Linked DNA regions of Lepisosteus oculatus. The protein of the gene in region 2 binds, or shares a complex with, the protein of the main gene of each other region. Links are inferred from orthologs where the notes say so. Each region holds a gene or a part of one and is shown on either strand. Other genes may lie near its edges.

The links. The genes of interacting proteins can lie anywhere in the genome.
Region 1: pigf (region 2) and pigo share a complex: the UniProt entries of both Homo sapiens proteins name them as parts of the ethanolamine phosphate transferase 3 complex. The link is inferred for Lepisosteus oculatus from reciprocal best matches to the Homo sapiens genes PIGF and PIGO.

The regions. Positions count from the first base shown.
Region 1 is NC_090698.1:67,287,208-67,290,959, reverse strand, and holds the start of pigo (GPI ethanolamine phosphate transferase 3), read left to right. Parts: upstream 1-1,565; 5' UTR 1,566-1,806; intron 1,807-3,228; 5' UTR 3,229-3,229; coding exon 3,230-3,707; intron 3,708-3,752.
Region 2 is NC_090712.1:13,355,990-13,359,741, forward strand, and holds the start of pigf (phosphatidylinositol-glycan biosynthesis class F protein), read left to right. Parts: upstream 1-914; 5' UTR 915-996; intron 997-1,002; exon of another isoform or gene 1,003-1,191; intron 1,192-2,042; 5' UTR 2,043-2,064; coding exon 2,065-2,292; intron 2,293-2,663; coding exon 2,664-2,755; intron 2,756-3,169; coding exon 3,170-3,286; intron 3,287-3,752. Other genes in the region: cript (cysteine-rich PDZ-binding protein), read right to left, coding at 36-101, 442-457.

The DNA of each region.
Region 1 (3,752 bases), on a different chromosome or scaffold from region 2:
TTATATATTATGTAATGTCTCAACATTTTTTATTATTAAAAATAAATTAAGGTGAAACAGTTTGTGGTATATTTCTGATACAAATGAAGCTGTGCAGCTTTGTTAGCTGCACAAGACCTTAAGAGGCATAATTAGGTTATTAATGGATAGGTAGAGATTGAATTCATGATTAAGAGAAGACAGGGAAGGATGCATACAGACGCAACTCTCGTGGAACCTAGATAAATGTATTAATTAAAATCCTCTGAAAGGCATAAAAACTAGGAGATAAAAGGTTCTCCATTAATTTTGTTTGATATCCTTGCCTTATAGTAATTCCAAGGAAGAATTATAATAAATGTGCTCGCTAAAACAAACGTTCTATCGAACACTCCATACTATTGTATCATATTTGATTTATTTAATACAAAATTTGTATTAAATATCCTTTTTCAACTGAATGCCACTTAGCCAACGACAGCGAAACATGATGTCTTGGTATTTATGCAGTGAATACTGTTAATAATAATAATTGCTTACACTTATATATTGCTTTTCTGGACACTCCGCTCAAAGTGCTTTACAGGTAATGGGGATCCCCTCCACCACCAACAATTTGTAACCCCCACTTGGATGATGCAACGGCAGCCATAGTGCGCCAGAACACTCACCACACATCAGCTATCAGTGGGGAGGAGAACCGGGTGATGAAGCCAATTCATAGATGGGAATTATTAGGAGGCCATGATTGGTAAAGGCCTATGGGAAATTTGGCTAGGACACCAGAGTTACACTCCTACTCTTTTTGAGAAATGCCCTGGGATTTTTAATGACCACAGAGAGTGGTCGGCACCTTTTAACTGTATAGTGTCCCCATCACTGGGGCATTAGGACCCACATAGACCGCAGGGTGAGCGCCCCCTGCTAGCTGCACTAACACCACTTCCCAGCAGCAACCTTAGTTTCTCCCAGGAGGTCTCCCATCCAGGTACTGTCCAGGCTCCCACCTGTTTTGCTTCAGTGGGCTGCCAGTTGTGAGTTGCAGGGTGATATGGCTGCTAGAAACGTATTTATTTCCCAGTCAAATCGTAATTTGTAATCGCTAGTGTTTCGAAATCGGCGAAACCTTCTCTAAACTCCTTCAAATCCAGACTCAAAACCCTCCTTTTCAGAAAAGCCTTTACTTAACTGCTTCCATTCTTCACCCCTCTGCTCTTCTTAATACCATCTTCCACGGTCTCCTCTATTGTTATTGTTGTATTGTTGTAATTATAATTGTGTCCTGTCTTGTGAAATTTTCTTATTTATTGTTGTAGTCTTCTTATTTATTGTTATTGTCATCCTGTAAAGTGCTTTGAGAAGCCACCTTTAAAGGCGCTATATAAAATAAAGTTTATTATTATTATTATTATTATTATTATTATCCACTTAAAGTGCATCCATTTCAATTATCGACAGTGCCCCCCGACACCGAAGTTGTCATTACCCTTCCGCGACACTAGGTGGCAGAGTTCATATCTGTCGCTCCCAGCAAGCAGCATCCGTGTGTGACGTCAGTTGGTACGTTTGTTGTTCTTCTGCGTGGTACTTCCTGAATCGGAAGGGTTAGCCGGTACACGCTTTCTCCGTGTGTCTGAGTGAATGAAGGGAGGTGGGGCGGGAGGCTGGGCAGAGTTACCTGATTCCCTATCTTTTCTACAGGGGCCGGGTTTATGAAGGTGTACGACTGACCCTGAACGAGGGCGAAGGAGGGATTGTTTTGGGAAGGAGGCATACCTGCAAGGTCAGTTTGAAGGCGGGTGGGCTGAATAGATTCCAAAGCTACAGGTAAGGTAAAGATAAAGAGAGCAAAAGAAAATAGCAAGATTTTCTATTTCAAAGATTTTGGTATGCCCAGGATAGGTTGTGTATTTTTGGGTTGGATCTACTGTAGTTTGATTTTTTTTAACCTGGGATCATTATTCTTATATCTGTCCAGTTGATGCTGTTGTGCAATAGTTCAGCATTTTGTGTGGTCAACAGGAGTTAATAAAACACGCTTATTTCTTTATGAATGCGTTATGTCTTGTAAGTGAACAAATACGTGGTTGAGCTTTGTAGCTCGGTGGTTTAAGCAGTTTTTTCCCCCGTTTTCAGATACAAGTAATATTTTAGTACTAACAGACGAAGCAGTTGTTGTACCCGATTCTGTAGAGTGCAATTTCTTCATTTGACATTCATCAACACATAAACAGTTAATATAAAGCTGCGATGTTAAAAAAGAGCTCATTTTTTCTTGTGGCTATCAGAAGCACAGAGTCTTAACTGTGGCAATTTAAATACATTAAATGTTTCGCGCAGAAGTATGAAAGAATGATCAAATAGAACAAGAATTTGAGTTTTACATGATCAAACAGAGTTACCGTCTTTGTAGCCAAACCTTATCAGATTTCAGAAGCTGAGCAAGGATATGTCTGGTCAGCACGGGGTTGGGGACCAGCGTTTCCCAGTGACTAAGGACACTGTGCTACAGGAGGTGTTCTGTGAGTAAAATCACTACCTAACCACTGGTGATTATATAGACTGGTTTGTGAGAGCATGGATCTTAACCCAGAATTTCTCAGATCAGTCTGGCCAGTCTATGATGTCCCCATAAAAAAATCAGTGAAGAGGCATCTGCTGCAAAATGGCTGCCATGTGTCACCCAGAGGGTACTCAATTATTAGTGTATTTGAGAAGCCACCTTTAAAGGTGCTATATAAAATAAAGTTTTTTTATTATTTTTATTATTTATTGATGTGGTTATCGGCTGATTGACAAGGTGGGTTGACCGCCATCTGAGATCCGTCATATCTAGTTACTTCCCAAATAGAAGCTTTGAAACAATCTCGGTTCTGTCTAATTTGTGGCTTCCGTCGTTTATTTAAGCCACGTTAATCGCAGGTAGCCTTAAATCTGACGGAAAGAAAGATGTAGGTGGGCAAATATGAATCAGCCTGGGCTCCAAAGGCGAGGGCCAGCTCTTTATCCTCCTCCTCCTCCTCCAGTCTGAGTAAGGTGCGTTGCCGTTTGGGAAATACTCCAGTCTGCAAGATTCACTGTTAATATTCTAAGACCTTGTTGACAGCACTCAAAAATAAAACGCGTGACCCCACCCCCCCCCACCTCTCTGTCCCTCCCCCAGGGTGAATCTTTGATGATTTTTTGCGGAGCCGCAGGCAGGACCTCCCAACCCGCCTGAGACTGAAAATCCCCCCCCTCTTCCCGCAGGATGAGGAGGGCACCCGTGCTGGCTCTCCTGCTCTGGGTGTGCGCGCTCTTCTGCGTGGGCATCGCCCTGTTTCTGGGGGGCTTCCTGCTGGTGAGGGTGGAGGTGAGCCGGAGCAGCTCCTGCGCGGACGCGCTCTCCCCGGGAGCCCCCCGCGGGGGCTTCTGCGAGGGGGCGCCGCGCTTCCGCAGGGCGGTGCTCCTCGTGCTGGACGCGCTCTCCTTCGCGTTCGCCCGCCACGACCCCCGCCGGGCGGCCCCCCGGCCCTGCGAGAACAAGCTGGGCGTGCTGAGCGAGCTGGCGGCCGCGCGGCCGGCTCACGCCCGGCTGTACCCCTTCAGGGCCGACCCCCCCACCACCACCATGCAGAGGATCAAGGGCTTCACCACCGGCTCCCTGCCCACCTTCGTGGACGTGGGCAACAACTTCGCCTCCAGCGCCATCCTGGAAGATAACCTCATCCACCAGCTGGGGCAGAATGGTGTGTAGAGGGAGAGCAAGCAATGGAGCCTAATCTTATCAGGTT
Region 2 (3,752 bases):
TGCTTACGTGTAGCGTAGTGCATTAGTTAGGGTACCTGTTGTGTTTCTGGCTCCATCTTTCCATGTATCCGGAGTGATGACACGGCCGAGTTTCTTTTCACCTGCAAATTACAAAGAGTTTCAGCCAGAGATGAACAGCGGAGTCGCCGTCTCTTCGTTTAAGATCACACGACAGGACGTCTGCCAGTAATACCTACAAACGCCTAGTACAAAGGAAACTAAAAGAAATGAAGAAAATAGTATACAATCGCAATTGCCTCACATTAAAAATGAATGGATATACTGGTTATGTGACTATTTTTTCTAGCATTTCCACTGCGGCACAAATTGTAAACAGCGAAGCAACGTCCCAGTGTTGGCGATTATTACGATTATCACGGAGAGATGATCAGTGCGACCTGTATTCAGAGACAACTATAACAAAGTCACGAAACCACTTACACTTCTCACAAACCATCTTTCTCCTCTCTTAAAACGAGAAAAAAAGAAAATCAATCCACCTACAGCGGAGAAAAGGAAAACAAACTATCTGCTCTGCCGGTGCCAGAGCCGTGTGACAACTTCCCGTCTCGTCCTTCCGTTCAGAAAGAGTGCGTACTGTATACTTCAAACTAAATAAATGCACCTCGACTGTAATTAACCCCCTCTTTGCGTCATTCCTGTACCACCGGCTTTACGACGTCCACTGACATGGCAGAAATAAACTACTGAACTCTACATATTATAGTAAACACATAAAATATATGGGTGTTTATGCGTCTCAAAAAGAATTTACTCCTTCCGGCTAGTCTGCCGTAATATTTTGCATTTTCCCAGGGTTTGTGGGTAGTGACCTTAGACTTTATCCCCGCCCACTCGGATGGCGATTGGGAATCGGTATGAAGCAACTGTTTGATTGGGCAAAATGTACGTCAAGCAAAACACGCCGTGACACCCCCCACGTCCTTGTTTACGCTGTACTGACCTTGCGCAGAATATATTTCATACGGAAATCAGGTATGAATGATACTGTTGTGGGCTATTGTCGTGCATTTGTGCACCACGACTAAAAAAATGGAAAAACACCTTTTAGAGGCTACGTGTTCTTGAGAATAATTCAGATTTTTTTCATTCGCTTGATGTATATAGTAGTTTATTATTTTTTTCCAACGTTGAATGATATTATATAGCAACAATCCGTCCATCTAGAGGGTAAGCCATTTCTTAAAATATAATTACGATCCTATTTTCTCTTGTTGATTATTCAGTTTTATAGGCATAATGTCTGCAGTTTCTTACGCAGTGCATAGTTTTTTGCAGTTTTAAGTTTAATTGGAACGGTAGAGATTTGATACTTGATGATTTACCGGGGCTTGGAAGAATGCTAAAGATGAAATATAACTTTTGAAAAGTTGCAGCTCCTGTAGGAGACGCCAGACCTCTACAAAAGGGTTCCCCGTGTATGTTAAGTTTCTGAACACTGTGACGGTTTGAGACAGAAACTTGTAGTCAGGTTTGCCTTGGCCGCCCGTCTTCAGCTACTCTTGGCTGATCACAAATCCCTCAACGGATATAGACGTGGTGTAAAGCAGTTTTATTCTTTTTTACATTAAAATTGATTTTGAAAATGTCCGATCTTTTGTACCAACGACATTTAAATATTTTTACCTTTTCTACGCAGATTTAGATAAACTAAGGTACAAACACTTAGCTAATATACAGAACCTGGTGATTGCTTGTATACAGTAAGAATTCGCAGCTCCGAAAACCCAAGTTGAGTTTGTGTCCTCTGCACTGGAAGTTTTCTTTACGCAGCTGTATTAGAGTTTTAAGGAAATAATAATTTCTGACAAAATTGAGAACACAGATGGAACTGAAATCAGGTGACCACGTGTCTTCTTGAGTACAGATAGCCAACACTATACAGAGGCCTTTGTCAGCTGTTTTTGGATGTTACTATTGAGTGTTGTACCTTAGCAAGCAGTCTTAAACTCCTGATATTCCCCAGACCTGAACTGATTTAAGTATCCTGAAGTTGGTAGTATTGCGTGCTTGTTTTCCAGCCTGGAATCACCTAGGATCACCATGAAGGATATTGAGATCAAGGGAATGATTTCTGCCCATACCATCATGGCAGCTTCTGTCCTGATGGCCACAGTACTGCCCCTTCTGTTTGTGGATGGGTTTTCAGTCTATGGCACACACCTTGTGTGGCTGTATTCTGTCTCTGGAGCTGTGGCTGCTGTTAACATCACTGTCTATTGGCTGCTGGGCATCAGTCCACCATCTAAGAAGAATACTCTGAGTTACAAGGTGAGGTCTGAGGGAGACTTTCTTCTCTTTGCAGAATCAGCCTGCTTTCACAGGTATTGCACAACCCAATACAACTTTTAAATGTTTTCAGTTATCTTTTTAAAGTACCTTTAATTCAGTTAATGCAGTTTAATTTTAAAATGGAAGTAACACTAGAATAACTGGTATATATGAATCTAGAGATTAACTATATGAATAAAAATACTCTGCACTTATAGTTGATATAGGGACTAGAAGCTTTGAGTGGTTTTCTGTATGCTTGTCCATTGAATTGCATTGGTCTCCACATATATCATTTTGTGGTAACCGAGCCAGCAAACACTATAAAGATATAGTGGGTAATTATTAAACCTGTTTGGTCTTATCCATAGGTGTCTAAAGCCTTCAGGTCCTGCCTGTATTTCATATTATCCTGCTTCCTGTTCCACACAGTTGTTGTCCTGTATGGAGCACCTTTGCTGGAGTAAGTACTTAACAACAAGTCACTAGGAATAGTTTGTCCTGTTACTAAAATGCTCTGCCTGTTCATGTTTCACATCAGGACATATGAGTCAAATAGTCAGTGATGTTTTTGAAAGTCTTTCTCTTGTTTCATTGCATCCTGCTGGTGTGACTGAGATTTGTTTAGGAAAAGTAATTGCTGAGGTCTGAAGTGCCCCACCGGATCCCAGCTTGAAACTAATCCAAACCCTTTTAGAGTGTCTTAAATATTGTCTGAGCAGCGGGTGTAATATTCCTGACTGAATTGACACACATTCCTGGACCAAGAGCAGGGTGTTTTACCCACAAATCATAGCACTTTGCATAAGTGAAATAAAGACCTATTTTCTTGCAAGGACAGGGTGTGCCTTGCTAGGATATGTGTTCTCTTTTCCAGGTCTGCGCTTGAAACCTTTTCCTTTGCTGTCCTGCTGTCCACATTCACCACCCTGCGCTGTCTCTGCATCCTGGGGCCTAACGTCCAGGCCTGGATTCGTGTTTTCAGTCGGGATGGGTGCGTCTCTTATTCTGACTTTCGCACCGCCTGTTTCTGCAGGGGAAGTACCGTTTTCCGGAGTATGCAGAAAGCAGTCCCTTTTGTTACTCACAATCAGATAAATCAGTTTGAGAGCTTAGAAGTGGAGGAGCTTATGTGCATAAATAGGCTGAACTTGCATGAGCATGTCAGAATTTCTATGAAGTATTTTTCAGAATAATATTAAGTGTTTTTATATAAGTCATTGGGCTTATATATAGTAAACAGTACAATTTACTGTAACTGTAGGACCTTTAGTGTCCTACCTTCTGTAGAATACAACAAAACCTATCCACAGGGCGAGAAGAGTCCATTTCTTTCTGAGTGTAATGTCACTGGCAGTTTCTTGTTGGTGTGCAGGAGCTAATGAAGGGAGGAATCCTCGTCGTGTTTTCTTTTTACCTTCAGTACTGACGGCTTTGTAACACGAATGACGTATGCACGG